Linked DNA regions of Macaca fascicularis. The protein of the gene in region 2 interacts with the protein of the main gene of each other region in a biochemical or structural test. Links are inferred from orthologs where the notes say so. Each region holds a gene or a part of one and is shown on either strand. Other genes may lie near its edges.

Region 1 (7,190 bases), on a different chromosome or scaffold from region 2:
TATCAGATACATGCTTTCCACATATTTTTTTGTTCTGTGGATTGTTTTTTCACTTTCTTGATGGTGTCCTTGGAAGCATAAAAGACTTCTAAATTTTGATGCAATCCCATGCCAAGTTCAGGTGGTAACCCCAAGTGCGGGGCTTTTCCACTGCAGTGCTTGCTTTTGAACCTGGGACCCTGAGCTCTTGGCATTCTAATGGCTAATGTTGTCTTCTTTCTTTCCTTTTCTCATTTTTTCCCACAGGGATGGTTGCAGAGGAGTACAATGCCTTCTTCTACTCACTGGTATCCCAGGACACACAGGAAATGGCTTACTCAACCAAGCGGCAGAGATTCTTGGTAGATCAAGGTTATAGCTTCAAGGTACATATCCATTTGGCCTCTGGTTAGACTAGGACCAAGGCCTTCTTGGTACCCTGGCCTCCAGGAGAAGTGAGGACCACTGTCAGCAGGCAGGCACCAAGCATTCGGGGATTAGAGGCCTTGCCTCAAACTCCGTTTATCTCTGCACGAATCACTGAGGGCAGCTGTTGGCGGGAAGCGTGCCGTCCTGGCAGGACTGAGGTGCCACGGCACTATGGCCAGCACTGTGTGAGTCTGAGCCACGGCACTATGGCCAGCACTGTGTGAGTCTGAGCCACGGCACTATGGCCAGCACTGTGTGAGTCTGAGCCACGGCACTATGGCCAGCACTGTGTGAGTCTGAGCCCCGCAGGGTTGCTTTCTCAGGGATGCCAATCCAGGTAGCTAGGAGAGCCCTTCCTTTCATCAGCTGGTAAGCTCCAGGCCTTAGTGTGCCTCAGTTTGCCTCCCAGACACCAGAGCCATCCCTGTACTACGAATCAGGTATTTTAATAATTGGGAAATTCTAAAGCTTTGGCTGACTTTCATTGGCTGAGGCATTTGCTTTCTTTCCTGTTACACAAATATTATTTTTATGTCAGTATTTGGTGTCCAGAAGGGCTTTATATTTTGGGGATAGATGGAGGGTTCTAGAAGTAGGGGAATTAAATTACCCCTATGGTCCACTAAAAGGACATCCCTAGAACATCAGACTCCCAGGTTCTTGATTGCAAAAGACTGCAATCCAGGCTGCCTTTTAGATACATTTTTAATGTGTCTCTTTATGCGTTGGTGAGAATTCCCATTATTGGCCTTAGGAGGACGGGGTTGTCTCGCCTCCCCTCTTTTAGCTAGAGGCAGGGACACTTTTCAGACCTCATGCTGGCCTAAAGGACAAGATGCTCGGGTTTTGAGCCCAGTTTTTTGGAGGATTTGCATTGTGACCGTTTTATCCATCCCTGAAAATCCCTGCTGGTAATAGCATTCCTACCTCCTGATTCCTGCCGAGCTGTGAGGGTCAGAGGAGCACCAAGTCAGAAGGAGCTACTCTGAATTCTTTGAAAGGTGACCTCGACAAAAAGGCACAATACCGTACCTTAGTAGTTTGTGTTGGTTGGAGCTGTGTCTTCGGTGCTGCCTGTTGAGGAGCAGTCGTTGGAGTTCCCCGAGTCATGACCTGGAGGGGTTGGGCCCTGGGCAGACGTGCACATCGTCTATACTCTGGATCCCTGCCCAGAAGGACTCAGATCCTTACTTCTAGGAATTTTCCTTTAATTAACGTTATGAGAATTGGAGGGAAGGAGAGTTCCCTTTACAGAATCAACCCAGTTTTCTGCGGGGATAGGGAGCCCTTGTAGTAAGTTATCCCCAGAGAAATGAAACCCAGTCTCCACCGTGCTGTTCTTACTGTTTCAGAGAAGTCCTGTCAATATCTTCCTGATATCCTATCGTTTTCATTTTCATGTGCTCATTCCTGCTGAAGCCCCAGTTGCTGGGCACAGCAGATGCCAGGGACCTTCTTAAAGGGCCACAGCATGTGCCTTCCAGTCTCTTGTCCGTTCCTCCTTTGCCTGCTCCAAGATGTGAAGGCTGCCCGAAGGAGCCTTTTACACTCACTAAGACTCTTCCTGTTCATCTTCCATACGTGATCATTTAGATGCTATGTGTTGGGGGCACATTTCTCTGAAATTCCTATGTCCCTCTGGTCTTGAGATCATTAGTCAAGCTCCGTGTTAAAAGCGGCTCCTGATGCTGGTCTCTGGAATTCTAGGGAGAAGCTCTCCATTGTTGGCCACCACGGTGGCTGGGCCTGGGGAGGGAAGTGAACAGAGCAGGTGGACCCAGGAGAAGGCAGAGGAGGGTTGGGGAGAGAGAGCAGAAGGGAGCATGTCTGCTGGCTTGGGCTTTGCAGGTGATCACGAAGCTTGCTGGCATGGAGGAGGAAGACTTGGCATTTTCGACAAAAGAAGAGCAGCAACAGCTCTTACAGAAGGTCCTGGCAGCCACTGACCTGGATGCCGAGGAGGAGGTGGTGGCTGGGGAGTTTGGCTCCAGATCCAGCCAGGTGAGTAAATGGGTAAGGAAGGTCCAGGTGTCAGTGCTCCCACAGGGCAGCGTTTGTAGACACAGACACAGACATGTAGTCTGTGGGCCCCTGGATGGGCCCATGGGATTTCTTTGGAAATGGAAAACACGGAAGAGATGAATAGAAACAACCCCTGTTGCCCTTTTGGTGTGTGCCCCTGGTCCTGTTGCATACAGCTGACCTCGCAGTGGCTGTGACTCGTCTCCTGCTTTACTCACACGAGTATTCGTTAGATCTTGATGTTGAAGCCCAGGATGGCAAGCAGGTGACCCCAGCTCACCTTGGTGGCGACTGGAGGGAGCGTGATAGGCCAGGGCATGTAGTTCCCCACCCAGGGCTGCCATTCCTGGTCGTGGGCACACAGTTCTCCTCTGGGTCCTCCTCAGTGGTAAAGCTGAGCCCTCTAGCCCCTAAGACAGCTCTGAGGTCAACTCTTGTGGTAGCTTCAATACTTAACTTTGAAAAATGTAGAGTTCTGTGAAAATACTCAACCTTTCATTTATTCTACAAATTTGCCTGCTGTAGAACAAGCAAATATATGGTCTAATTAGTGAGAGCATTATGGAGAATTATCAGGCTCCAAGGGGAGAAGCGCACTTCAGTCAGGTGCGTTTGAAATTCAGTTGCCATTAGAGCCGGAAGGTGAGCAACTGCTGGACCGAGGAAGCAGCTGTCCCTGCGGAGGGGCCGTCCTCCCTTGAGCCTAAGGCTTTTCTCCCCGACTAGGGAGCTCTCTCCATGGGAACCCAGGAGCGTGCTCTCACTGCTCTCACTGGTTGTGAGGAGGTGCCTGGTTCTTTCTCCTCACAGGATAGAAATGTCAGGATGGATATGGTTATCCCCATTTTACAGGTGAGGTCATTGAGGTGAGGTGCAGACACTAATTCCTTGCCCCAGGGTTACTCAGGGACAGGTGCAGCCAAGAGTCAAGCCCAGAGCTTTCTGTCCTTCCACTTGATTCAAAGCCTCATGGTGGTGTCTCAGGAGATTTTAAGGGACTTCTGCCCTAACTGTTAAAAAATTCTGTTCAGAACAGGTATAGTGGCTCATGTCTGTAATCCCAGCACTTTGGGAGGCCGAGGCGGGAGGATCAGTTGAGTCCAGGAGTTTGAGACCAACATGGTCAACATATGGAGACCCTGTTTCTCTCTTAAAAAAAAAAAATTGTTTAGAAGCTGTTGTTAAGTGAGGCAGTGTGCCTTATGGTTAAGAACAGTCTGAAGCCCGGCTACCTGGGTTCAAGCCCCATCTCCTTAAGAGCGGTGTGATCTTGGCGAGGTTACTTAATCTCTCTGTGTCTCAGTTTCCTCTTCTTTAAGGTGTGGATTATAATAGTTTTGAGGATTAGAGGAGATAATGCATGTCAAATGCTTAGAACAATGCCTTGAGACACAGTAAGCGATCTGTAAACATTATTTAAAATGATGTATTAAATTTATGTACGTCTTATAAAATTTGCTGTGATCATAAATATTATAAAAGGAGTGTCTTTTCTCCTGGAGACTAACATGGGCTGTTCCCGGCAGGCATCTCGGCGCTTTGGCACCATGAGCTCTATGTCCGGGGCCGACGACACTGTGTACATGGAGTACCACTCATCACGGAGCAAGGCGCCCAGCAAACATGTGCACCCTCTCTTCAAGCGCTTCAGGAAATGATGCTGAGGCGGGGTACTTCGTTCAAGACCGGCGCTTGGCACCCTCGTTGGAAAGGGATTTTCAGCGTAACGTTTTCCTTCGACCTCCTTGACCTTCCCTCCAGCGTTGGCCAAACTATGCTGAGGAAACTGCCTCAAGGGCTTGGCTCTGCCTTCATGGGTCATCTAGGGTTTATTGTCTCCTCTTGCCTTTATCATCTAGGAGGAGACAATATTTTTTCAAACTTTTTGGGGAGTGGGGTCATTTCTGTATATAAAAAATTTTAATATTTAAGGTGTATTTATCTTACTGTTCTGAATAAACAGAATGGACCATTGAACCACTCTTCATTGTACAAGTATTTTTATGCTTCGTCCTGGGCATGGGTTATGTCTGGATGACCAGCCTCCATCAAGGCCCCTACTTTGTAGCCAGCACAGATGAGTAAGATGGAGCCCCTCCCCAGGGAGCTACCAGGGAGATGTACCTTGAGATAGAAGAAGCGTCAGCAGGAAATACCTGGGGAACGGGGAGGGTGATCCAGCTGGAGGAAAGAGCCTGGGCAGTTGACTGTGGTCCCTGTGCACAGCTTAGCCTGGTGGATTCAGACTGGGGCTGCAACCGCACAGCTTCCTGCTGTTGTGGTCGTTACAGCTGTTCCTGCAACCTTGTCCAAGGTAGACACCTACATCATGAAGGCCTTCCAGATTGGCTCCTGGTGGCTCATCTTCTCTGAAAGAGTGACTTCTTGTTTCTCCCTCAAAGTACGTTTTTAGATATTGCTGAGGGGCTAGATTCCTCTTCTAATAGCAGTTTAGTGCCCTTGGGTGTTTTAATTGCTACTTTGTTTTTAATGGCTTTGGGCTTTTGTCTTCTGTTTCTGGTATGAAAGCAAAGGTGTTGAGGAAAAGACAGTCCAGGCAGGATTGCTCCTTGAAAGGTAGACACCCATGAGGCATATCTGCCTTGCAGAAAGACTTGTGATTCTGAGGAGGAGGCTCACTCCCTCGAACAGGAATCAGCGCTCACACTTGGGGAGGGAGTGTTGAAACCCTGGCTACATAAGGCTTCCGAGTGGAGTCCCTGCCCATCCCCACAGCTCGGCAGCAGCTTCCTGTACTCAGCTCCAGCACAGCTGGGCTGCTGTCTGTGATGCAGCCACAGACTGTCTGAGGAGAAGAAAGTATTAGGTTGGTGCAAAGGTAACTGCGGCTTTTGCCATTACTTTTTTTTTTTTTTTTTGAGACAGAGTCTCGCTTTGTTGCCGAGGCTGGAGTGCAGTGGTGCGATTTCAGCTCACTGCAACCTCTGCCTCCCAGGTTCAAGCAATTCTCCTGCCTCAGCCTCGCAAGCAGCTGGGACCACAGGCACCCGCCACCATACCCGGCTAACTTTTTGTGTTTTTAGTAGAGACAGCATTTCACCATATTGGCCAGGCTGGTCTCAAACTCCTGACCTTGTGATCCGCCTGCCTCGGACTCCCAAAATGCTGGGATTACAGGCGTGAGCCACTGCATCCGGCCACCATTACTTTTAATGGCAGAAACAGAATTACCTTTGCACCAACCTAATACCTCTTTCATCAGGGGGCTTTGAAGCAAGAGCCACCCGCCCCACATTCTGCCTCTCTGAGCTGACCTTTTGGTGACAAACACTCTCATAGTCTAGTCAGCAGCTGGTGCTGCCAGGCATCTAGCCACTCTTATCAGGGCAAACCCCAGGAACCAGTACCAGGGCCCTCACTAGGAGGAGAGGGCCTGAGCAGCCCCGTCTGAGGTGCACGCTTGAGCCCACAGACTCGCCTGTCATGTAACCCTGATGGGTTGGCACTCAAATGTTCAAACTTGGCTGTAACCATTACTCTTTTCAGTCTCGCCTCCTGTCATACCTTTACACTTGAGATCCTCAATACTGAGCACTTCCTGTATTTTCACATTTCTGGCCCCCGTTTTCTTCTCTATTGACAATGTTGAATTTTACCTGAACCCTGTGGTCCTAGGAAACAGACACATTTAAAGGAGTCCCTTGTCCTTGGTGTTCTGGAAAATAGTTTACTGCAGAGAACCATCCTTCCCAGTATGACTCATGAATGCTGCCCTTGAAGACCCCAGTCGAGGCCAGACACAGGCCTTCCAAATTCCCATTCTTTGCCTCATAAATTAGCTAAACTGCTTGTCCCCAGTGATCAGTGGGAACAAAATGCTTGTGAACCAGACTTTGGTTTAGATTCTCTTCTACCCCCGGACCCCTGAACTTTGGCTCACCCTCCCTTCCACCCCTGGAGAGAATAGACTGGACTCAGGGTAAGTCACTGATTGGATCTACTGTCCCACCATGCCACTCTCCTTCATCCCACTTCTTTTACTTACTTTCCCTCCCTATAAAAGAAAACCCCTTTGCCTAACCCTGAGACAAACAGATCTTATGTTCAGTGCATTCTCCCTGCTGCAGTAGTACGCCCCTCCCCACCACTTTGCAACCATCCTTTCAAATAGTCTCCCTTTACCAAGTCCAGATTTTTTCTTCTTATTTTTCTTGACATTGTCTGTTCTGTGAACTTAAGCTCCAGATTTTTTATTTGACGTCATGTAACAAGTTTTTATCTAAATGTCCAAATGTCATTGGTAATACACAAAAATACAATTCATTTTTATATATCAGTTTTTATATATCGTTTCTCAGTCATGCAGTCATGCTAAACTCAGTTCTAGGAAATTTTTCTGTAAATTTCTAGAATAATTCAGCTAAAATCAGTGAAGATACAGAAGACTTGAACAATACTATTAACCAACTTGACCTAATTGACGTTTACAGAATATTCTGCCGAGTAACAGCAGTGTAAGCATTCTTTTCAAATACACACATCACTTGCCAAGATAGAATCCATGTCAGGTCCTACAAGTCCTAATATATTGGAAAGTATTTAAGCCATACAAGCCGTAATCTGTGCCCACAGTGCGATTAAGTTAAAAATCAATAGAAAAAGAGTGGGAAACCCTCAAATATTTGGAAAAGGTAGTGGTTAATTTTAGGTGTCAGCTGAGTTAAGGGATGACCGCTCACTGGTTAAGCATTTTTGGGTGTGTCTGTAGGGGTGTTTCCAGGAACGAGGAGCATTTGAAG
Region 2 (7,909 bases):
TAATTGATATGAGCTCTTTATCTATTAAATATATTAATCATTTTATGTATGTGTAATTGAATCAAACATTTTACCAGGCTTCCCTTCATTCTTTTAATTTTTTTACATAGAAACATTCAAGATTTTTAAACACTCAAAATTATATTTGTCATTGAGTTTACTGCATTGTATCTGATATCTGTAACTTTTAGGATATACCATTGATTCTGTATTTGTAAATAGGTTTGTTTATGTTCAAGGAATGTATCTAGCCACTTAATTGCTTGATGCAACACTTGAGGCCTAGTTTAGCTTAATTGTGTTAGGGTAAACATTTCTAGGCAGTAAAATCGTATAGCTCTCCATGAATTAACTGCTTTGGATGATTAAGTATTAGCTAACACGGGATGAAACCCTAAACAGTAAGAACAGTTGAAGTGCTAGGGAATAATGGCTAATTTCATTTCTTTAAGAATTTTGGGAGCTTCTGACTCTATGTGTTCACCTTTAGAACTAAATTGGATCAAAAGAATGCACTTGACGTACTTGGGGGGAAAAAAGTCCCAATATAAATAAATGTCAGCTCCAAATACAGCTATTTGGTAACATGTTAAACTAGTCCCTAATCTCTGAAAGAAAGAGAAAACCAGATGGTAGTGAGACTTTCAGGGTTCTTCACCAAATTACCAAATATCTCAATAGGATAGAAAACAAATCTCCAAATATCAACTCATTTCTTTCTTCTTTTTATTTTTATCTTTGAGATAGGGTCTCACTCTATTATCCAGACTAGAGCGTAGTGGCACGATCCTAGCTCACTGCAGCCTCAAATTTCCGGGCTCAACTGATTTTCTCACCTCAGCCTCCTGAGTAGCTGGGACTACAGGCGTGCACCACCACGCCTGGCTAACTTTCTGTATTGTTTTTGGTTTAGAGAGGGTCTTGCCATGTTGCCCAGGCTGGTCTTGAACTAAGCTCAAGCAATCCACTCGACTCAAACTCCCCAAGTGCTGGGATTATAGGCAAGGGCCACCTTGTCTGGCTAAGTCATTTCTTTATATATTTGTGAAACCCTCAAAATTTTATGAGGGAAATGGTCTTTATTTAAAAATAAACTTTCAGGTTTGAAACAAAGGCAGAGGAAGTGTAAAAAGTGTATTCTAACCTGTCAGACTGTGTACTATTAAATGACAGTTAAAAGGAGACTGACAAAATTGCCTTTTAAAAAGATAAAAAGACAATAACTAACTTTGCACATAAAGGTTAACATTAGTGAATGTGTGATAACATCTGCACATAAAGGTTAACATTAGTGAATGTGTGACAATATCAATCACTTTCCTGGCCATCACAGCTGTGTCTTCTGCTTCACAACTAAACCATAAGGGTGGGGGGGTGGGGGTAGGGAAGCTTATCAATTGCCTGATTACTTTTCCACATTTAATGTAGCAGCTAATTCTACCCCTGTTATATGATGCATTAATTCCACAGTTATAACCCCAGAACCTAATACAGTGCCTGCTGGAAAGAAAATAAATTGACTAGTTGCAGCAGTTTGCAATATGAAGGGATTGTTACATACAACAGAAAATGGAATTATAGAGGACAGAAAACACTCACTTAACATATCGTGAAGAAGTCTGTTAGTTCTGGATTCTAAATTCTACTCAGTGATACTCTTGCTAAGTCCCTTTAGGCCACCATTACTTTCTTTATCTGTAAAACTGAGTGATTTTATTAAATTAACTTTGGCACCACTTCAAGCTACCTGATAGAAATGAAGTCGACATAAATTGTGATTATGTCCATTGAGTTTCAAAAGGCAACTTTCTTAGGGGAATATTAAATAATGCTTTCTGTAAAATATTTCGTAATGCAAATAATACTCAGGGCAATGTGAAAACAGTCTTAACCTATCTTTGCCGGCCACAATTTTATTTAGTTTCTGTTAAGCTAGTTTTCAAGCCTCTCCACCTCCAAGCATCTAGCACAATGTCTCTGCTCACAACACACGCTCTTAGGCCAACTCCAGAAGAGCACATCTATAAAATGCAAGTTCAGCATTTATTGAAGTTACTAAGGAGAGATGAACTGGGGATTATGGAAGAAAAGATAAGGGCAGTGAGGTGGGAGCTGGAAATCCAGAAGTCAGCTGTAGTTCTCAAATGTCCCAGGGGTCAAAATAATTTTTCTTTGCATCCATTGAGATAAAAAAAAAAAAAAAAGAATTTTAACACTAGGATTAAATTCGGCTCAGCGTTAAATCCTAGCTGCTTCAGAATAAAACTCTTACTTTAATTTCTCTATCGTACAGTCTAGGACATAATAGGTTTTCAATGAAGATCAAACGAGAACCAGGAAGTCAAGAAGCTCAGTTAAGAATAAAACAGGACCACCACCCAATATGTCACTGCGTATTTATAACTTAGCGTTTAAGTTTGTGGACTCTGCGTTCAAAAGGATTCTGCCACTCACATCTCTCTGCCTCACTACTCTCATCCGTAAAATGTGATCATAGGACTAATCTCAGAATTAAATGAGTTAATGTATGAGAAGCGCTTGCCAGTTCACGTTTGTCAGTGCACGTTTGACTTCCTTAATGAACAAAATCTCTTGAAGGCACGGTCCTACTAACTTCTGTACCCTTAACACAGAACTCCATACAATACTCAATGCCTGCCTTTTTTTTTTTTTTTTCCAAATAAAATAACTGACAATACACTCTAGGCTGCAGTCTTCTGGGAGACTGATGTGGAAAGCCGCGAAGGAAAAAGACCCGGGCTCCGCGACCCCCACCCGCGCGACGCCGCCGCCGCCGCGTCGTCACACGGAGCAAAGTCCCCTGGGAAGTGTAGTCTTCAGGACTTCGGAGGGACTTCAGCCACGGGCCGAAGAGCCAGGGAGTTGAGGGAAGGAAGGTAAGGGGAGGGTTACTGGGTAACTCAAAAGTGTCTGGAGCCCCAGAGGTGGGGTAAGACGCTCACCTGAGTCTCCCAACACCAGTACCTTCACCCGATCCAGGGACGCCATCTTGCCACTGCCTTCCTTGGGTTAACGCCTGTTCCGGGATTGTAAGCCAATCAGAGTTGGGCATGGAGGGCAGAGCTTTCAATTTCATTGGCCGCTCGGAGCGTGACTGTCTGAATCGAAGGCTTCACTGAGCTGATTGGCTGGTCTGGTAGCGGGGTGTTTCCCCAGCTGGTCTCAGGAATAGTGCGTTTTCTTTGTCGCGTAAGAGGCGTGGCTCATTTAAGCCGGTAGTTGAAGAGCTGAGGGCAGCTGTAGTGGGAGTGTTCCAGGATTCGCTTTGGTAAACCTTGTTCCCTGTTCCTTGTTCGGAGTTCCCTGGCCGGGCATTGCATTTCATGATTTCTTCTTCCTTTCGCTCCCTCTTAACTGTCCTCCCCTATTGAATTACCCTCTTGCCTTGGTCCTCTTGGTTCTCCAAAGAACCATTGACCCCGGAACGGCCCGTGTGGGACCTCGGGTAGGGCGGGCTTGGGTGCGCCGAGTGTGGCCCTAGACCCAACTGGGAGAGTCCGAGGGAGTTTGGGGTCTCGGGGTCTCGCAGTGGGGAGGAGTGCATATCACCGAACGCGTCTCGTGGAGGGCAGCTGGGTCCGGAGGTTTCGCAGTAGTTTGCCGCTATGTGTTCAGTGAAGGCGTGGAAAGTGCCATGAAATGTGGTACCAGAACACCGCAGTTAGATGTGTAGAATCCCAGGTTGTTCTAGAACTGGCGTAGTGGTGTACTGAAGTAATCTAACTGGACTCTTCGCATCCAGCTTTTTTCTCCATTCTGCAGTCAGCGCACACTTTTAACATCGTGAATTTGATCCACTCACCTCCAGCTTAAAACTGTTTTAAATTTAAGAAGAGAGTGCCCAATAGCCTGTCCAATTCTACCGTGGAAGCAAGAGTGGAGGAAGTGAAGCGGGGGGAAGCTGGCAAAATGAGCCGTGTTGGAACAACACGTGTCTAGGACACATATGGAAAGTTTTATGGAAGTACTTGTCTGGCTGTGCTAGATACTGGAAATTAATTGGTGAACAAAATGAAGTCTGGTCTTAGAGATAGACATGGAGAAAGTACAAGAAGGGAGAAAGAGCCATGGAACATGTGAGAGGGGATGATTGTACGCTACCTAATGGGGAGTCTGGGAAGGCCTCTATGAGGAAACGTCATTTGAGACTTGAAGGATGATTAGGAGAAGGGGGTTGGCTTAGTTGTAGGGGCAGAAGGAACAGCATGTGCAAAGCTCTGGTAAGCACGGAAAGCACATGTGGCTTATGGAATTGAGAATATGCTAGTGTGGCTGGATATGAGGCTGACAGAGTAGACAGAGGGCAGAGGGTGCATTCTTTTCAACTTTGTTTCTCTAGCTCCGTGCCTGGTGCACAATAGTCCTTAAATGTTTATATGATTAAAATACACGTGTCTGGACTGGGGTAGGGAGGTGAGGCTGGGATATGACTCATGGACTATGAAGATCAAAGGAAGAAACAAAAGGTCCTAGGAGGTACCACACTCAGAAGTCTCCAGAGACCAGCCATACTCCTTCCCTAATAATGCCAGCTGCTATTCGTCTTCAGCTTATTGTTTCCATGTGGGACCATGGGCTCACTTTTTCCTCAGATATTTCCAATTTTTCAGGAGGAGCTGGAAGTTGAAATTTATGTGAACTCTTACAATTTTTAAATGTTGACAACTAATTCAGAAAATTTTTGAAACATTTCTTTGGGTGAAACAATGCGTTGGGGGGCTGCCAGTTTGAGAATTCTTACCTAAGACCTCTAGAGATTGAGTAAGGAGATTCAGTGTGAGTGGGTAGTGGTGGAGGAGAGAAGTTAGTGGTCAGGAAGGAGGATTTTAGAATGCACAGATTTTGAACAAGGTGGCACAGCTTCATTTCATTCCTAAGCTCTAGTTTCATTTGTTCAGCTACCTGCTGGGCATATTCAGAGGAATATCCTATGGTATTTCCTCAGAGACACTTCTAAAAATGATTTCCTCATTTCTTCCATATCTGCTCCTCTTCAAGTGTCACCTATTTCTCATGGCAGTACTTTTCCTAGCTACACTGGCTCAAAACAGAGCTATTTAAGATTTTTCCTACTCTCATATTCTGTATCCAATATATTTTGTTGGGTCCTTGTTATTTTTTTTTCTGTAATAACTTTCATTCATTCTGTTCTCTTCTTGCAATTTTTTGCCTTCTTCCGTAGTTTGATTTTATACACCCAGTACTTCCACATTGCCTCCACCTTCACCCATTTGAGTCCATTCTTCATATTGGTATAAGAGTCGTTTTTCTAAATAGGGGATTTATTATGAATGCCAGTACTTAATTGAACTCTCATGCCAGCCCTGAAAGCAGAACACTTTGCATTAATTATCTCACTGAGTTCATACATTAACTGTGTGAGCAGGGGACCGTTAATCACTTTTTTTTTTTTTTTTTTGAGGGTCATGTCCTGTCACCTAGGCTAGAGTGCAGTGGCTCAATCATGGCTCATTGCAGCCTTGACCTCCTGGCTCAGTTGATCCACCTCAGCTGGTACTACAGGTGCACAGCACCATACCTGGCTAAGTTTTAAAATTTTTATAGAGGTGGGGTCTTACTGTGTTTCCTAGGCTGGTCTTCAACTTCTGGACTCTAGCAGTCCCCCCATCTCGGCCTCCCAAGGTGTTACAATTACAGGTATTAGCCACTGCACCTGGCCTAATCACTTTTTATATATAAGGAAACTGAGTCTGAGAATTTTCTGGGGTCAGGGGGGCTAAGAAATACTGGAACTGGGATTTAAACCCCAAAACTGTTGGATTGTAAAGTCTTCACATCACTCCCTGACTTTAGTCTTCACAGCTCCCTAGGGTGTTTTAGGCAAAGGAAACAGGCTGAGCGATTAGTGGCACAGGGACCTCTCCATGCAGGATGAGCATTGGCAGGATATATAGTAGGTACTTTCGCTGTATAGTAGAGCCACCTAAAGAGCTTTAAAAATTTGTGTGATGCCAAATCTGGCCACCCCGAACCACCTGAGACAAAACCTTTAGGAATGGGGCCCATGGTCAGTATTCTTGAAACGTTCCCTAGATGATTCTGCTTTAAAACCAGGCTTGAGAACTATTAGTCTGGGACATGGCATGTATGGAGCAGGGAAGGAGAATACAATAGTAGGAAATAATCCTGGAAACAGGTTATGTTGACATTTTTTTGCTGTTCTTTGTTGAATGTTTCAGAAGCCATATGTTGTGTTCTGACAACTGTTGAGGATGTAAAACAACAAAAAACCAAAACTGGGTTCAAGTACAATGTACAGACCAAACTGAGAAGGAGAGCAAAGTGTGTCCAGTAGTATGGCTGTGGTACTACTTTGGTGTCTAGCCCAGGCACTTGCCGGGCATCCTTAAGCCCTGGGGTAGCGGAAAGGCTCTAGGTTCACAGATTTGGATCTAGGTGCTACTTTGTTATATCTTATAATATATAGTCATACCTGAGTATTTATAACCTAAAGTACGTGTTTTCTTTTGACTGCCTTTTCCTTTATTACACGAAGGGCCTTATATTTTCCCCCCAAAATATGTGCATAGATTGGTTATAGATTGGTGTGTAGAGTTTCCTTATAGTATGATACTATGGATATCAAAACATTTCTTATTAAAAGAGTATTAAATCTGTTGCGGTTGATAACCATTGATTTCAAATAAAAAGGTCAGTTGAAACTAGTATTAATAACAGAATATGATTCTCCATGAAATATTTCAGTGGGATGTCTGTTAAAAATTATCCTGTGGAGCCTGGCCAAGATGGTGAAACCCTGTCTCTACTAAAAATTCAAAAATTAGACAGGTGTGGTGGTACACGCCTATAGTCCCAACAACTCAGGAGGCTGAGGCAGGAGGATCGCTTGAACCCGTGAGGCAGAAGTTGCAGTGAGCTGAGCTCGCGCCACTGCACTCCAGCCTAGGTGACAGACTGAGACCCTGTCTCCAAAAAAAAAAAAAAAAAAAAAAATTCTGTGCTGGGTGTGGTGGCTCACATCTATAATCCCAGCACTTTAGGAAGCCCCCAACATGGGTGGATCCCTTGAGCTCAGAAGTTCGAGACCAGCCTGGGCAAAATGGTGAAACCCTGTCCCTACAAAAAATACAAAAATTAGTCAGTCATGGTGGTGTCCACCTGTAGTCTCAGCTACCGGGGAGTTTGAGGTGGGAGGATTGCTTGAGCCCAGGAGGTTGAGACTGCATTGAGCCAAGTCACACCACTGAACTCTAGTCTGGGCAACAGGGCACCTGTCTCTATTAAAAGAAAAAAAAAAAAATTCCCTGTGGGCTAGGGAAATTTAACTTGATTTAATCTATGTGGATAGTCTAGCCATTTTTAGTTTGGAACATATTAAGTTGATATGGAAGCTGTCCTTCCTAAGCACTTTAATTACATTCTTATTAATCACAACAACTCCATTGAGGTAGTTGATACTATCCTTATATCTTAGAGAGTAAAATGTGGCTTGAAATTGTTTAAGGGATTTGCTCAGGATTACATAGTTACCAAAACACAGGCTGGTACTCTGAATTTCAAAGCCCAGGTTTTTTTTCTTTTTTTTTTTTTTTGAGACTGAGTTTCGCTGTTGTTGCCCAGGCTGGAGTGCAGTGGCGCAATCTTGGCTCACCGCAACCTCCACCTTCAGAAGCCCAGGTTTTTAAATTAAACCACATGCCAATATGGGCTTTGAGAAGACAGCTTTCTGGGTCATGGTATGGAAATGAGATACACTTAGTTTCTGCTTTGTTAAGGGATTCAGTATTTAAGAATATTTTGGGCTGCGCTCCCTCTCTCATTTTCTACCTTTTTAAGGACTGGATGGTCTTTCCTTGATTATGAGATTTAATTTTTCAAGGTTAGTAAAACTATCTGGATCTAAGTA
Region 3 (7,480 bases), on a different chromosome or scaffold from region 2:
GAATAGTAAAATTTGATGAAGTACTATGTAGATCTGGTATTATATATGTATTAACATGCTGCTGAATGCCAAAAATGCTCAGAAATAAAGATAAAAATTGTAATAAGGCTGAGTGCAGTGTCCCACACCTGTAATCCCAGCACTTTGGGAGGCTGAGGCAGGTGGATTGTTTGGGACCAGGAGTTCAAGACCAGCCTGGACAACACGGTGAGACCTTGTCTTTACAAAAGAAAAGGCAGAAGTTAGCTGGGTGTGATGGCATGCACCTGTAGACCCAGCTACGTGGGAGGCTGACGTGGGAGGATCGGTTGAGCCTAGGAGGTCAAGACTGCCGTGAGTCATGATTGGGGCTCTGTGGTTGATAGAGGGAGACCCTGTCTCAAAAACAAAAAGAAAAAAAAAAAAAAAAAGAAGGAGACCCTGTCTCAAAAACAAAAAAAAAATCTAAAAAAGAAAAAAGAAAGAATTGTAATAAGATCATTATTTGGACAAAATAGAACTAGCAGAGGTTATAATAGAGTTAAGTGACATAAACTCATAATATACAAAATAGTGATGTGTGATTAATGTGAGTTTGTTTTTCCCATAAGATTGTAAATAGGACAGTTGTGGGGAGTCAAGGGTAAATATTGGTTAATCTCTGTAATGTAATATTTTATGTAAATATGAAGTTTTTTTTTTTTTAAGCTCTTAACTCACATTTGAAAACAACATGACATCTAAATAATTTAAAATATTTCTTTTCCTCTCCTTTAGGAATCAAGGAAGGACTGAGGTAAGATTATTTATATGGAAATTTTAGTTAAAACTTGAGACTATCTTACTTTTCATTAATAATAGTGAAGAAAGAGTGTTTGAATTTTAGAAAATGCCACATCAAGTGCATGACTGATGGTTAGGAATACATAAAGGTATAAATGCCACCCTTGTGTGAATGAATGGACTCTTTTCTAGTTGTTCATTCTCAGCATTTTTCTTCTTTGACCTACATTTCCCGTCTTTTGGTACCATGAAACTGAGTAAAACTTCTGTAATACTGTACTAATACATTAGTATTACTTCAGTGCGACAAAGGCATTTGATACGGAGTTTTTGAGGACTTTAGATTCTGACCCATTGAGTACAGTTTGTGATTTACAGTACTTATCACATAGTAGAGAGATATTTAATAAATACTTTATGATCTTCCTACATGCTTGGGAGATGAGTAATTTTGTTTATAAGTCTGTTTAGTGTAAAATGTGAAGTTCTTTTGGGAAGATCTGATATCTGATACAAAGCATTTTGAAAGAACACCTAGTATGTCTTTTTATTCTAAACCTTATTATTGAGCTGTCCTTGTAACTGTTGAGTTGTATTTGTCAAAACATTGAAAAATAATACCATGTACTCATATGGTTGTCATTAAGACCTACGAAATAAATACATCCTCTGTTTATGGGAGTGTTTAAGCTTTTCGGAGTAAATAGTTCACACCCCCACATCTTAAGTACAATTGCTTTCTTAATATTCTTAAAATATTCGCTTATTCAGCAATATTATTTTCTTCTATAAGCCAGGCACTCTGCTAGATCTTAAGGATATAAAATATAGTAAGACATGATCCCTTGACCTCAGACCTCAGAGATTTTTAGGAAAAAAGAAAAAAGATGATTTTTTTTTTTTTTTTTTGAGATGGAGTCTCATTCTGTCATGCCTGGCTAATTTTTGTATTTTTAGTAGAGACAGGGTTTTGCCATGTTGGCCAGGCTGGTTTCAATCTCCTGACCTCAAGTGATCCGCCTGCCTCGGCCTCTCAGGGTGCTGGGATCACCAGCACCACTGCGCCCAGCTGGAAAAAATAATCTTACCCCTGTTTTGGAAAGAGTTCTTCAGCCACAGACTAGAGAAAACATGAAAACTGTCTTTTTTTTATGATGGTAGATTAGCCCCATTGTTCTTTTTGTTTTTGTTTTTTATTTTCTTACTAGTTGTAGTAATTTTTATTTTATTTCGGGGGTACATGTGTAGGTTTGTTACATAGGTATATTGCATGATGCTGAGATTTGGGCTGATATTTATCCTGTCACCCAGATAGTGAACATGGTAACCAATAGGTAGTTTTTTAACTCTTGGTCTCTTCTCTCTTTTTGGAGTCCCTAATGTCTATTGTTCCCATCTTTAGGTCCATGTCTACCCAATGTTTAGCTCCCACTTGTAAGTGAGAACATGTGGTATTTGGCTTTCTGTTTCTGCACTAATTCACATAGGATAATGGCTTCCAGCTGCATCATTGCTGCAAAGGATGTGATTTTGTTATTTTTTTATTAGCCCCATTATTCTGACAAACGGGAATAGATTGTCTTTCTCTCTTTTGATTTTTTTAAGAGACAGGGTTTTGCTGTGTTGCCAAGGTTGGAGTGCAATGGCTTTTCATAGTGAACTACAGCCTGGAACTCCTGGCCCAAGGAATCTTCTTACCTCAGCCTCCCAAGTAGCGGGGATTATAGGTGTGCACCAGTGTGTCCAGTTTACATTCTCTTTTTGTGAGCAAGTATTAAGGAGTTTTTAATAAAGTTAAAGTGTTTAATGAAATGACTGGAAAACACATTTAAAAACAATTTGATTTATAACTAAAATTTTTTTATATGTAGTTTGAATACAAAAGTCTGTTATAATCTCTGGTTAATGTGTCTATTAGGTGTCATTTACTTTGAATGAGGACCTTGCAAATATTCATGATATTGGTGGAAAACCGGCTTCAGTCAGTGCTCCTAGAGAACACCCATTTGTCTTGCAAAGTGTTGGAGGACAGACATTAACAGTGTTTACTGAGAGCTCATCAGGTAAGTGGGAATGGAATTATTTAATGTGATTCCTGTACTTGTTGTATAGATTTTCTGTCTCAACATACACTCCTGTTTGCTTTTTTTTTTTTTTTTTGCGATGGCGTTTCGCTCTCGTTGCCCAGGCTGGAGTGCAGTGGCACAATCTCAGCTCACTGCAACCTCCACCTCCCAGGTTCAAGCGATTCTCCTGCCTCGGCCCCCCGAGTAGCTGGGATTGCAGGCATGCACCACCATGCCCGACTAATTTTGTATTTTTGGTAGAGACGAGGTTTCTCCATGTTGGTCAGGCTGGTCTCAAACTCCTGACCTCAGGTGATCCGCCTGCCTCTGCCTCCCAAAGTGCTGGGATTACAGGCGTGGGCCACCGCACCCGGCCTCCTGTTTGCTTTTTTAAGGTCATTACCAAGACTGTTCCACCTCTCATTTTGTGTACCTCTGTTATTCATACTATGCTACTTCTCTGCTCTGTGTACTTTCTTGTGATTAATGAAATTTTGGCCATTACTTGAGAAGGGTTTAATTTCTATTTGGGATATGAAGATATAGAACAAAGCAGATGGAAGAATGTGGTTCATCAAGCTGCCTTCTCAGATGTTGAAGAAACAGTATTCTGAATTTTGCCAAGATAAGGTCATCGTTGCTTGTTTTAGTAAATTGATATTTAGCAAGTATAAGTTGTACTTTAAAAATACAGCTCGATATTAGGGAATATTTTAGTCTGAATTTTTCATCTTGTATGCTTTGTATACCAAGGGGACCTTTTTATTGCACAGAGATAACTTTTAATTGATATTGGCTTCTAAGAAGTTTCTGTGTAGAGTTTTAAGATTGTATGTGTTTGCAATGAGATATTTTAACAGTTCAATAAATCAGAAGCAAATGTTTCCATTTGTGAATTAAATACAGAAGGAACTTTCTTGTGGCACACACTCAGCATGAGTATATTTTCCATGTTTTGGGATTTTTATCTTTCACTGAGTTTAGAATACTATTAAAGCAACAGGCCACCTTAGTTTAATGGAGCTAATTTTCTGCTATCTGGTTCAAAAAGCTTATTGATAAAAGAAAACATTTGTGATTTTGTTGTATTTCATCAAACATTTCAAAGGAAGCTGTAAGAAATTATAGTATGTTAAGAACACCATTGGTTAAAAAAAGGTACATCCTCATAAATTTTTTTGTGGTGTCTTCGATTACCAATAGCTACATAAAATGATCTAAAAATTATTCTTTTTTTCTTGGATGTACAGTATAACAAAATGGTAAATTATAATTCTTCAGTTATGTAGTTGAAGGTAGAAGATTGGTTTCACTGCAGTTTTCTGATGCTCTAATAATTAATAGTTTAGTAGTATGGGAGGCAGAAAAGTAACAGTTTCTTCAATACATCCATTTTATACTGGAGAAGATTCAACCTTTCAACAAATATTTATTGCATGCTGCATAGTTCAGGGCATAGTATAGACCTATCAAAAAATCTGAAATTTGTCTGAAATTAAAAGCGCATTTGAATTCAGTATGTTAAAGAGTTTTAGTTTTGGCGGGGCGCGGTGGCTCGTGCCTGTAATCCCAGCACTTCAGGAGGCCGAAGTGGGCAGATCACCTAAGGCCGGGAGTCCGAGACCAGCTGGGCCAACATGGTGAAACCCTGTCTCTATTAAATAAAAAATTGGCCAGGCGTGGTGGCGGGTGCCTGTAATCCCAGCTACTCAGGAAGCTGAGGCAGGAGAATCGCTTGAACCCAGGAGGTGGAAGTAGAAGTGAGCCGAGATTGCACCACCGTACTCCAACCTGGGTGATGGAGGGAGACTCAATCTCAAAAAAAAAAAAAAAGAGTTAAGGAGTTTTAGTTTCAACAACTCTATTCCTTTTGATTGATGAGATTTAATAAGATCCATTGAACCTGTGAGGTTTTCTCTACTTTTGTGATTGTCCTAGAGTGGAAGAGGCATGGCACCAAGATAGTAAAAAGGAGACATCGCCTTGATAAAAGTTTGAGGTAGGGAAACTTGAACTTTTTTTTGTAGAAAAAAGTACCCTATTACAGATTTTTTACATCTTATTAAGTGACTAATTTTTTGAAAACATGATTTATTTCTGGTGCTTCTACAAAGACAGTGATTTAGAAAGCTAACATTTGTTAGCCTCAAAATTAGTCTTCCATTTTACATTTTAAAAATACTTTAGTGTTGTGCTCTTTTTGAACATTTCATGTTCACATTTCTGGCTACAGTGTACTCTGAAGGGAACGTGGTTTTATGAGGATTATCTTGGCAGGGATATGGAAAAGAATTAAGATTGTCATCCTTATTCTGGGGCTTGGACGGTATGTTCTTGCTTTGCACAACTGTGATAATACAAATGCAGTTCTAAGTTGCTATTAGTTATAATACACTGTAACAATATTTTACTTCTTAACCTCATTATTTCTGTTTCAAGTCATTGTTCCTTGATTCTCTTTGCACCTTTCTGTGCCTTAATTTTCTCATTTATGAAATGAGGATAATTTGTTGACATATAAAAATATGAATACATTTAAACACTTAGAACAATGCTCAGTATATAATGGATGCTCAAATATTAGCTGCTGTTGTTAATATTACACCTTGTTTTTAAACACTTTAGGTTTCAAGTTTAAGGCAAGTGCATGCATTTTAGCTCAATCTGGATGTGTATCACTTGATAAAATTCAGCCAGTAGGGATTTTTATATTAAATGTTTCTCAATTGCCTGCATGACCAAGAAAAAAGCTCTAGAATTGTGAGTAGTTTATCTCCTCTGAGGAGTCTTATGTATTTGCTGTTTCTAGTCATTAAAGCAGCAGTTATACAAGTGGGTTCCTTGTATCTCTTGGAAGTCATAAATAGTACAATGGGCTCTGTGACTGCTGCGACGTATTTAAAATGTTAGATGTATGTTGTATATGTGCATTCTTTTCTATAGGATGGTTCCAGCGCTTTCACTGGCATCTCAGAGGAATCTGTGGCTCAGAAAAGCTACAGAACCACTATCCTAGTTTTAACCTTAGTTGGTCATGAACCTGCCAAAGTATAAGTGACTAAGCCATTTTATAGGGAGTAAGCTGTTGATTTTACATTGAAATATAAATGAGGTAGGCATTATCTGGAATATTTCTACATTTTCTATCAAGCATAGAACCATACTTGCTTTTCTAGGCTCTTCATTTCTTTTTATTAGTGCACAGGTCTATAAAATGTAGAGTTTGTAAGGAAGCTTGAAATCACATTTTAGTTCACTATGTTAGGAGTTTTAGTTTTAATAACTTTATTCCTGTTAATGTGATTTTGCTAGTTTTTGAGAGGCCTCCTTTGAGCCTATTTTCCTAATGATAGAATTTGGCACATTTGGGTCTTCTAGGGAGAGGGAATTAGAGGGGACTAATGATAAGTTATACAGTATTTTCTCTTCAATTAAAATAATCTGCGTGTCATCAACATTTTATGAACTCAATTAATGTATTTCTAATTCAGTGTTCCTGTCTGAAAGAATATATTTTATTTTTATAGGCTATTTTGGGTTACCCCTTCTTCCACTTCTGCTTTCCTCTATGAAAGTCGAAATGATCTATTAATATTTCTCTGTTATTTTCATGGAGCTCTCTTATCCATTACCCTTATCTCTGTGGAAATACCTCATGTGTTTGGCCTTGCATTTCCCCGCCTTGGGTCTTCAGTTTAGTATTTTCATCTACTATTTATTGATAACTATAGATAATTTCTATTTTTTCTGCCTTTGGCATCCTCCTTGGCATTCCTACTTTTATTCAAAGTTAGATTTTCTTGTTTTTTTTTTAGAGGCGGTGTCTCACTCTGTTGCCCAGGCTGAACTTCTGGGCCCAAGTGATCCTCCCACCTCAGCCTCCTGAGTAGCTGGGACTACAGGCGTGCACCACCATGTCTGGCTCTTAGATATTATTATTTATAACTGCCAATTCTAGACAAAAATGTTCATTCATCTGTTCAATAGATATTTTTGGTGCTAAGCCCTGTGCTAGAATAAGATTAGCCTCCTGTGCACTGAGGCAACTGGTATGTGAATACAAGTGCTCCAATGGAGTTATGCACAAAGAGGAAAAAAAGCATGTGTACTTTGCCTGAGGGAACTGGCTTCAGAAGTAGAGATAATATTTGAGCTGGACCTTGAAGTATATGAATAGGACGAAAGATAGTAAAGATAAATTCATTTTTCTAGCCTTCAAGGATCCAATTCTTCACTTGGCATTCTTTTGCCTGTCATCCTCTGTCATAGCTATCTAAAAAATCATTAAATAAAAATTCTTTTTTTTTTTTTTTCAGACGGAGTCTCGCTCTGTCGCCCAGGCTGGAGTGCAGTGGCGCGATCTCGGCTCACTGCAAGCTCCGCCTCCCGGGTTCACGCCATTCTCCTGCCTCAGCCTCCCGAGTAGCTGGGACTACAGGCGCCCACAACCGCGCCCGGCTAATTTTTTGTATTTTTAGTAGAGACGGGGTTTCACCATGGTCTCGATCTCCTGACCTTGTGATCCGCCCGCCTCGGCCTCCCAAAGTGCTGGGATTACAGGCGTGAGCCACCGTGCCCGGCAATAAAAATTCTTTAAAGCAAAAAACTTGGTTATGGATGTCATAGTCTAGGTTAGAGATGAAAAAAGTTTG
Region 4 (7,480 bases), on a different chromosome or scaffold from region 2:
TTGTCCCTCCATCTGCTCTTCTTCTGCCTGGGGTCAAGAGGGGATGGGTCTAGCTTCTCTGGCAGACTGGGAATCCTTGGAGTCTTCTGTATCCAGTGTTGCCAGGCAAAACAGGCTGAATGAATCGAATCGGGGTGGGTTTGTTGAGTGATTGAATTGAATAAATGATTCAATTGAATGGAAGGATTGAATTGAATTGATGGTTCAATTGGATCGAGCGATTGAATTAATGATTTGATTGAATTAATGATCCAGTTGGATGGCTGATTGAATTAATGGTTCAATCGCATTAATTCATTAATGATTGAACTGCTGTATTGGATTGACACCACCTCTTTCTAATCCACTCCAGGAATACAACCAAAAAATATAATATCATGGCTTTTAATGCAGCCGATAAAGTCAACTTTGCTACGTGGAATCAGGTAAGTCCCTGGGTCCTGGGGGTTGGGAGCTGGGGTGGTGGGAGAACATGACCCTGACCTTGGTGATTGTAATAGTTGCTTAACTGTCATAGTAACTAAGTCTTAATTTTCTCACTTTTCTCAAAATGAAGAAAAGATAGATGACAAAGGATTGGGTGCAGTAGTTCACACCCCTGATCTCAGCACTTTAGGAGGCCGAGGCAGGAAGCTTGCTTAAGGCTAGGAGTTCAAAACCAGCCTGGGCAAAGTAATAGCAAGACCCCAACTCTACAAAAAAATTAAAAAATTAGTTGGGGCTGGTAGTGTGGGTCTGTAGGCCTACATAGGAGGCTGAGGTAGGATGATCGCTGGAGCCCAGGGGTTCAAGGCTGCAGTGAGCTATGATTGCATCACTGCACTCCAGCCTGGATAATAGAGCAAGACCCTGTCTCAAAAAAAAAAAAAAAAAAAAAAAGTCCGGGTGCCGTGGCTCAAGCCTGTAATCCCAGCACTTTGGGAGGTCAAGGCGGGTGGATCACGAGGTCAGGAGATCAAGACCATCTTGGCTAACACGGTGAAACCCCGTCTTTACTAAAAAAAATACAAAAAAGTAGCCGGGCGAGGTGGCGGGCGCCTGTAGTCCCAGCTACTCGGGAGGCTGAGGCAGGAGAATGGCGTGAACCTGGGAGGCGGAGCTTGCAGTGAGCTGAGATCCGGCCACTGCACTCCAGCCTGGGGGACAGAGCGAGACTCCATCTCAAAAAAAAAAAAAAAAAAAAAAAAGAATGGCAAAGGCCCAGGTCAAGCTCCTGGGTGTCCCTGTAAGTTAGGTTTGGTAGGCCCACCGGAGGCCTCTCCTTAAAGGAGAACATTCAGAAGTTGTGCCCACCGATGGGCATTTTTGGCCAGGGTTTATCTGGGCAAGGGAGGGGACTGGGCTGGGGGCTTTCCCAGAGCCCCTGCCATCAGAGGCTCTAGAAAGGACTTTGGGAGCCATTAAAGTGTTTTCAACTGGGAGGTTGTAGTGTGATCTGGCTGTTGTGGGGAGACAGACTGTGGGTTTGAGGGCAGTTAAAGGGAGACGGGGTAGAAGCAACTGGTCTGGTCTAGGTGAGTCCTGGTGGGCATTGGGGGCAGTGGAGGTTATGAGATGTGGCTGATTCTAGAGTGTTTTGGAAATGGTATATATGGACCTTAAATCAAGAGCTTAAGGGTAATTTGGATCATATTAGCCACATAGGTCACGATAAATGGTAACATCTGTAGAGATTTTGGTGCCTTAATGTCAGTAAATGTTGCACAATGAGATTCTTTTTATTTATTTTATTTATTTATTTTTTGTGATGGAGTCTCTTGTTGTCCAGGCTGGAGTGCAATGGCACGACCTGGGCTCGCTGCAATCTCCACCTCCCAGGTTCAAGCCATTCTTCTGCCTCAGCCTCCCAAGTACAGGTGCCTGCCACCACGCCCAGCTAATGTTTGTCTTTTTATGAAGTTTCGCCATGTTGGTCAGGCTGGTCTTGATCTCCTGACCTCAAGTAATCCACCTGCCTCAGCCTCCCACCGTGCCCGGCCTTTTTATTTTTAAAAAATAGATATAGAGTCTCACTATGTTGCCCAGGCTGGTCTTTTCTTTTTCTTTTTTTTGAGACGGAGTCTCGCTCTGTCGCCCAGACTGGGGTGTAGTGGCCGGATTTCGGCTCACTGCAAGCTCCGCCTCCCGGGTTTACACCATTCTCCTGCCTCAGCCTCCTGAGTAGCTGGGACTACAGGCACCCGCCACCTTGTCCGGCTAGTTTTTTTGTATTTTTTTAGTAGAGACGGAGTTTCACCGTGTTAGCCAGGATGGTCTCGATCTCCTGACCTTGTGATCCGCCTGTCTCAGCTTCCCGAAGTGCTGGGATTACAGGCTTGAGCCACCGCGCCCGGCCTTTTTTTTTTTTTTTTTTTTTTTTGAGACAAAGTTTCACTCTTGTTGCCCAGGCTGGAGTGCAGTTGCGTGATCTCGGCTCACTGCAAGCTCCGCCTCCCGGGTTCCCGCCATTCTCCCGCCTCAGCCTCTGAGTAGCTGGGACTACAGGCACCCGCCACCTCGCCCGGCTAGTTTTTTGTATTTTTAGTAGAGACGGGGTTTCACCGGGTTAGCCAGGATGGTCTCGATCTCTTGACCTTGTGATCTGCCCGCCTCGGCCTCCCAAAGTGCTGGGATTACAGGCTTGAGCCACCGCGCCCGGCCGGTCTTAAACTCTTGAGCTCAAGCGATCCTTCTGCCTTGGCCTCCCAAAGTTCTGGGATTACAGGCGTGAGCTACCACACAATGAGTTTCGATACGCATGCATTCTGGAGATGCGTAGCCATTCTAGTTACTTATAAAGTTTTGGAAAAGAAGCCCGGAACCAGGTGCCTGCCGTACAGAATGGGGAAGTCTTCATTACTTCTACATTCCTCAGATAAGGAATGTTGCCTTCGAGGGCCTGCTCGATGGCCACCAGGTGCTCTTTTTCTGTTTAATTTTAATTTGGAAGTAATTTCAAGCTTTTAAGTTGCAAAAATAGAACACAAGGCTCGCTCAAATTCCCCTTACCCAGATTTATCAAAGGCTACCATTCTCCTCCCTTGTTGCCAAGTGGTAAGTTGGTTTTGAGCGTCTAGAGCTTGGCCTAGGGTGAGGAAGGGCATTCCTAGAGCGGGGCACCGCCCAAGCAAAGCCAGGGACCCTGAGAGGCTTTGCTTCCTGCTCCCCTAGGCTCGGCTGGAGCGGGACTTGAGCAACAAGAAAATCTACCAAGAGGAGGAGATGCCCGAATCGGGCGCAGGCAGTGAGTTCAACCGCAAGCTTCGGGAGGAGGCTCGGAGGAAGAAATATGGCATCGTCCTCAAGGAGTTCCGGCCCGAGGACCAGCCCTGGCTGCTCCGGGTCAACGGCAAATCTGGCAGGAAGTAAGTGGTGGGGCGGTGGCGGTGCCGGCTTAGCGACCAGTCCACATCCCCCCTCCACTTACAAACTTTGTGGGGTACCCTCTCTGAACCTCGGATTCCCACTGCTGCGATGGAGGTGCTGGCACTTCCATCCCTGTAGGGTTTTATTTTTTATTTATTTATGTTATCTTATTTTACTTATTTATTTTTTTGAGATGGAGTCTTGCTCTGTCGCCTAGGCTGGGGTGCAGTGGCATGATCCTGGCTCACTGCAACCTCCACCTCCCGGTTTCAAGCGATTCTGTTGCCTTAGCCTCCTGAGTAGCTGGGATTACAGGTGCCCACCACCACCAGGCCTGGCTAAGTTTTGTATTTTTAGTAGAGATGGGGTTTCACCATATTGGTCAGGCTGGTCTCGAACTCCTGACCTCGTGATCCTCCTGCCTCTGCCTCCCAAAGTGCTGGGATTACAGACGTGAGCCACCCACCCAGCCTACTTTATTTATTTATTTATTTATTTATTTATTTTGAGATGGAGTCTCACTCTGTCACCCAGGCTGGAGTGCAGTGGCTCGATCTTGGCTCACTGCAAGCTCCGCCTCCCAGGTTCATGCCATTCTCCTGCCTCAACCTCCCGAGTAGCTGGGACTACAGGCGCCTGCCAACACGCCCGACTAATTTTTTTGTATTTTCGGTAGAGATGGGATTTCACCGTGTCAGCCAGGATGGTCTCGATCTCCTGAGCTTGTGATCTGCCCGCCTCGGCCTCCCAAAGTGCTGGGATTACAGGCGTGAGCCACCGTGCCCGGCCACCCAGCCTACTTATTTATTTTGAGACAGGGTCTCACTCTGTCACCCAGGCTGGAGCGCAGTGGTGTGATCGTAGCTCACTGCAGGCCCCAACTCCTGGGCTCAAGAGATCTTCCCACCTCAGCCTCCTGAGTAGCTGGGACTACAGGCGTGCCCCACCATGCCTGGCTCATTTTTGTATTTTTGGTAGAGATGGGATCTTGCTGCATTGCTCAGGCTGGTCTTGAACTTCTGGGGTCAAGCGATCCTCCTAACTTGGCCTCCTAAAGTGCTGAGATTACAGGCGTGAGCCACCGCCCAGGCCCTGGGGTTGTATTTTTGAAGATAGTTCACTGAGTTGGTGCTTGTGCCTGGCTCTGAGGCAGCTCTGAGTACACAATGCAGGAAGCTTGGGTGGCCAGCGCTGGGGGCTCATGACACTTGAGATGACCTCTTAGAGGGGGCAGACTGAGGCCAGAACGGGAGGGGTCCAGGTTAGGTTGATCAAGGGTGCTCCAGGCACAGCAGTTGGGTGATAGTGAGAGACACAGGCAGCTCACACAGGGCAGTAGGTGCCAGGATGTGCTGGACCCAGTGGAGCCTTGGAAAGCTGTAGGCAGGGAAGGGGCGCTCACCCAGATTGCCTGGACCTTTAGGGTAGAAGAGAATGAAGTGGAGGCCTTAGGAGGCTGGGCAGTTGTTTAGGCTTGAGGGAATGGTGGCCTGGGCCAGGTGTCCACTTCAGATTTGGCCATGCCATGGCTGGGCATGGTGGCTCACGCCTGTAATCCCAGCCCTTTGGGAGGCCGAGGCGGGCAGATTACTTGAGATCAGGAGTTCAAAACTAGCCTGGCCAACATGGTGAAACCCCGTCTCTACTAAAACTGCAAAAATTAGCTGGGCGTGGTGGCGGACACCTGTAATCCCAGCTACTCGGGAGGCTGAGGCAGGAGAATCGCTTGAAGCCGGGAGGCGAAGGTTGCAGTGAGCTGAGATTGTGCCACTGCACTCCAGCCCGGGTGACAGAGCGAGACTCCATCTCAAAAAAAAAATATCTGGCCATGCCTTCCCGCCCCATCCTCTCACTTGGCTCCTCATTTTCCTGGGTATGGCCCACAAGTAGCAGAGCTGGAGGCAAATGTAGACGGTCTGACTGCAGGGTTGGGCTCTTCTGAGATAATCTCACACGGTCTTTCCAGAAATGATCCCAATGCGCACATGCCCAGCCCTTTGCAGTGTAGGTGTGCCGGCGCTGTTCCCCAGATGTGAGAATTGACGAGGCCCAGCTGGTTGAAGGCCTCATGGGCATTCCTTGGTCTTCCTCTTATGGCAAGTGCCATAAAGGAGGCAGGCCTGGGGGACACAGGCAGGTCTGGGCTGGTCCCTGTGGGCCAGGCCATGATCGTGGCTCCCTGCAGGTTCAAGGGCATCAAGAAGGGAGGCGTGACAGAGAACACGTCCTACTACATCTTCACCCAGTGCCCCGACGGGGCCTTCGAGGCCTTCCCCGTGCACAACTGGTACAATTTCACGCCACTGGCCCGGCACCGCACGCTCACTGCCGAGGAGGCCGAGGAGGAGTGGGAGAGGTGAGTGGACTGTGTGGCTGCTGGGGACAGAAGTGAGGGAAATGGGGTGCCTTGCTGTGGGTATATCACCAGGCCCTGTGCTGGGAGCTGGGGACTCAGGGGTAACCAGGGCAGACCCCACTCAGCCATCTCGGAGCTGTCAGTTCAGGGGGAAACAGATAGGAGGGGGTGACCTGGAGCTCAAATTGGCAGAGCAGAATGGGATCTAACTGTCCCCTTGGCTTCCACAGGCCGCAGGTCACACAGCCTGATCCACTGCAGGGCAACAGCTCCAGGCAGGGCATCCTGGGAGGGTTTCTCTAGCAGTGTCATTGGCCTCAGAGGTGAGGCGGGTACAGTTAAGGGCTGTGGAGAGAGACAGTGCATGAGGCCAGTGCAGAGTGACTGTGGGCAGGGGGACGAGGCTGGGGGCCCAGAGCACTTGGTCTTGGATGTTACGGCTTTGGATGAGACCTTAGGGCCACCACTGCCCTAGGGTGCTTGCAGATGGTGGGGAGGGCACTTTGGATGCATCTGCAAAATGGCATTTGCACAGGTCACAGATGAGCAGATGCTCAAAGAGTTGATGGCTCACAAAGGGTTAAAAAAACACCTTTTTCTCTCTTTGCTTTAGTGGGTTTTTTTTTTTTTTTTTTTTTTTTTTTTGAGACTGAGTTTCATTCTTGTTGCCCAGGCTGGAGTGCAGTGGTGCAACCTCAGCTTATTGCAACCTCTGCCTCCCGGGTTCATGCCATTCTCCTGCCTCAGCCTCCCGAGTAGCTGGGATTATAGTTGGCCACCACCACGCCCAGCTAATTTTGTAATTTTTTTTTTTTTTTTTTTTTTTTTGAGACGGAGTCTCGCTCTGTCACCCAGGCTGGAGTGCAGTAGCGCGATCTCAGCTCACTGCAAGCTCCACCTGCCGGGTTCAGCAAGCTCCACCTCCCAGGTTCACGCCATTCTCCTGCCTCAGCCTCCCGTGTAGCTGGGACTATAGGCGCCCGCCACCACACCTGGCTAATTTTTTGTATTTTTAGTAGAGACGGGGTTTCACCGTGTTAGCCAGGATGGTCTCCATCTCCTGACCTTGTGATCTGCCCACCTCGGCCTCCCAAAGTGCTGGGATTACAGGCGTGAGTCAGCGCGCCCAGCCTAATTTTGTATTTTTTTGTAGAGACAGGGTTTCCCCATGTTGGCCAGGTGGTCTCAAACTCCTGACCTGAGGTGATCTGCCCGCCTCGGCCTCCCGAAGTACTGGGATTACATCCATGAGCCAGTACTGGGATTACATCCATGAGGCACCACGCCCGGCCTGCTTTAGTTTTTAGTCATTTTCTTTGGTTTTAAAATTTCTGGAGTTGCAGGTTGGCTTAGCTCCAAAAGCAACCCCATAAATGGCACGCAGTCAGAGCATCCTCCTCTCCAGGTAATGAGCCTCCGAGCCTGTGGGGCAGTTTCTGTGCCCCTGGACCCTGGAACAGCATCCCCCAGTCTTCCTGCCTGCTCCACGTTGGTTGAGTTCCTGGGGCTCCATTGTAAAATCCATCGATCAGTTTTTGCTGGGAGGGCAGGTTCCCTTTTGCTGCATTTTCCTTAGAATCTGCTTTGAAAGTTTTAGGGAGAAGAATTTGGCATTTTATAGAATTGTGTAAAACCTGGATGTTAACCAAAGGAGAAATGCCATCTCTTTTTTGAGATGGAGTCTCGCTCTGTTGCCCAGGCTGGAGTGCAGTGGCGCGATCTCAGTTCATGGCAAGCTCCGCTTCCCAGGTTCACGCCATTCTCCTGCTTCAGCCTCCC

Evidence for each region.
Region 1: the proteins of GTF2E1 (region 2) and ERCC3 form a complex in vitro, tested with the Homo sapiens proteins (2 studies listed by BioGRID). The link is inferred for Macaca fascicularis from reciprocal best matches to the Homo sapiens genes GTF2E1 and ERCC3.
Region 3: the proteins of GTF2E1 (region 2) and GTF2F2 form a complex in vitro, tested with the Homo sapiens proteins (2 studies listed by BioGRID). The link is inferred for Macaca fascicularis from reciprocal best matches to the Homo sapiens genes GTF2E1 and GTF2F2.
Region 4: the proteins of GTF2E1 (region 2) and GTF2F1 form a complex in vitro, tested with the Homo sapiens proteins (3 studies listed by BioGRID). The link is inferred for Macaca fascicularis from reciprocal best matches to the Homo sapiens genes GTF2E1 and GTF2F1.

Annotation. Positions count from the first base shown.
Region 1 is NC_088386.1:4,281,405-4,288,594, forward strand, and holds the end of ERCC3 (general transcription and DNA repair factor IIH helicase/translocase subunit XPB), read left to right. Parts: intron 1-246; coding exon 247-365; intron 366-2,256; coding exon 2,257-2,409; intron 2,410-3,956; coding exon 3,957-4,088; 3' UTR 4,089-4,412; downstream 4,413-7,190. UniProt on the Homo sapiens protein: ATP-dependent 3'-5' DNA helicase/translocase. Binds dsDNA rather than ssDNA, unzipping it in a translocase rather than classical helicase activity. Component of the general transcription and DNA repair factor IIH (TFIIH) core complex.
Region 2 is NC_088376.1:162,456,801-162,464,709, reverse strand, and holds the start of GTF2E1 (general transcription factor IIE subunit 1), read left to right. Parts: upstream 1-3,238; 5' UTR 3,239-3,289; intron 3,290-7,909. Other genes in the region: RABL3 (rab-like protein 3), read right to left, coding at 2,964-3,009.
Region 3 is NC_088391.1:24,395,199-24,402,678, forward strand, and holds part of GTF2F2 (general transcription factor IIF subunit 2), read left to right. Parts: intron 1-756; coding exon 757-775; intron 776-2,680; coding exon 2,681-2,825; intron 2,826-7,480. UniProt on the Homo sapiens protein: TFIIF is a general transcription initiation factor that binds to RNA polymerase II and helps to recruit it to the initiation complex in collaboration with TFIIB.
Region 4 is NC_088393.1:7,165,270-7,172,749, reverse strand, and holds part of GTF2F1 (general transcription factor IIF subunit 1), read left to right. Parts: intron 1-352; coding exon 353-425; intron 426-3,150; coding exon 3,151-3,344; intron 3,345-5,530; coding exon 5,531-5,701; intron 5,702-7,480. UniProt on the Homo sapiens protein: TFIIF is a general transcription initiation factor that binds to RNA polymerase II and helps to recruit it to the initiation complex in collaboration with TFIIB. It promotes transcription elongation.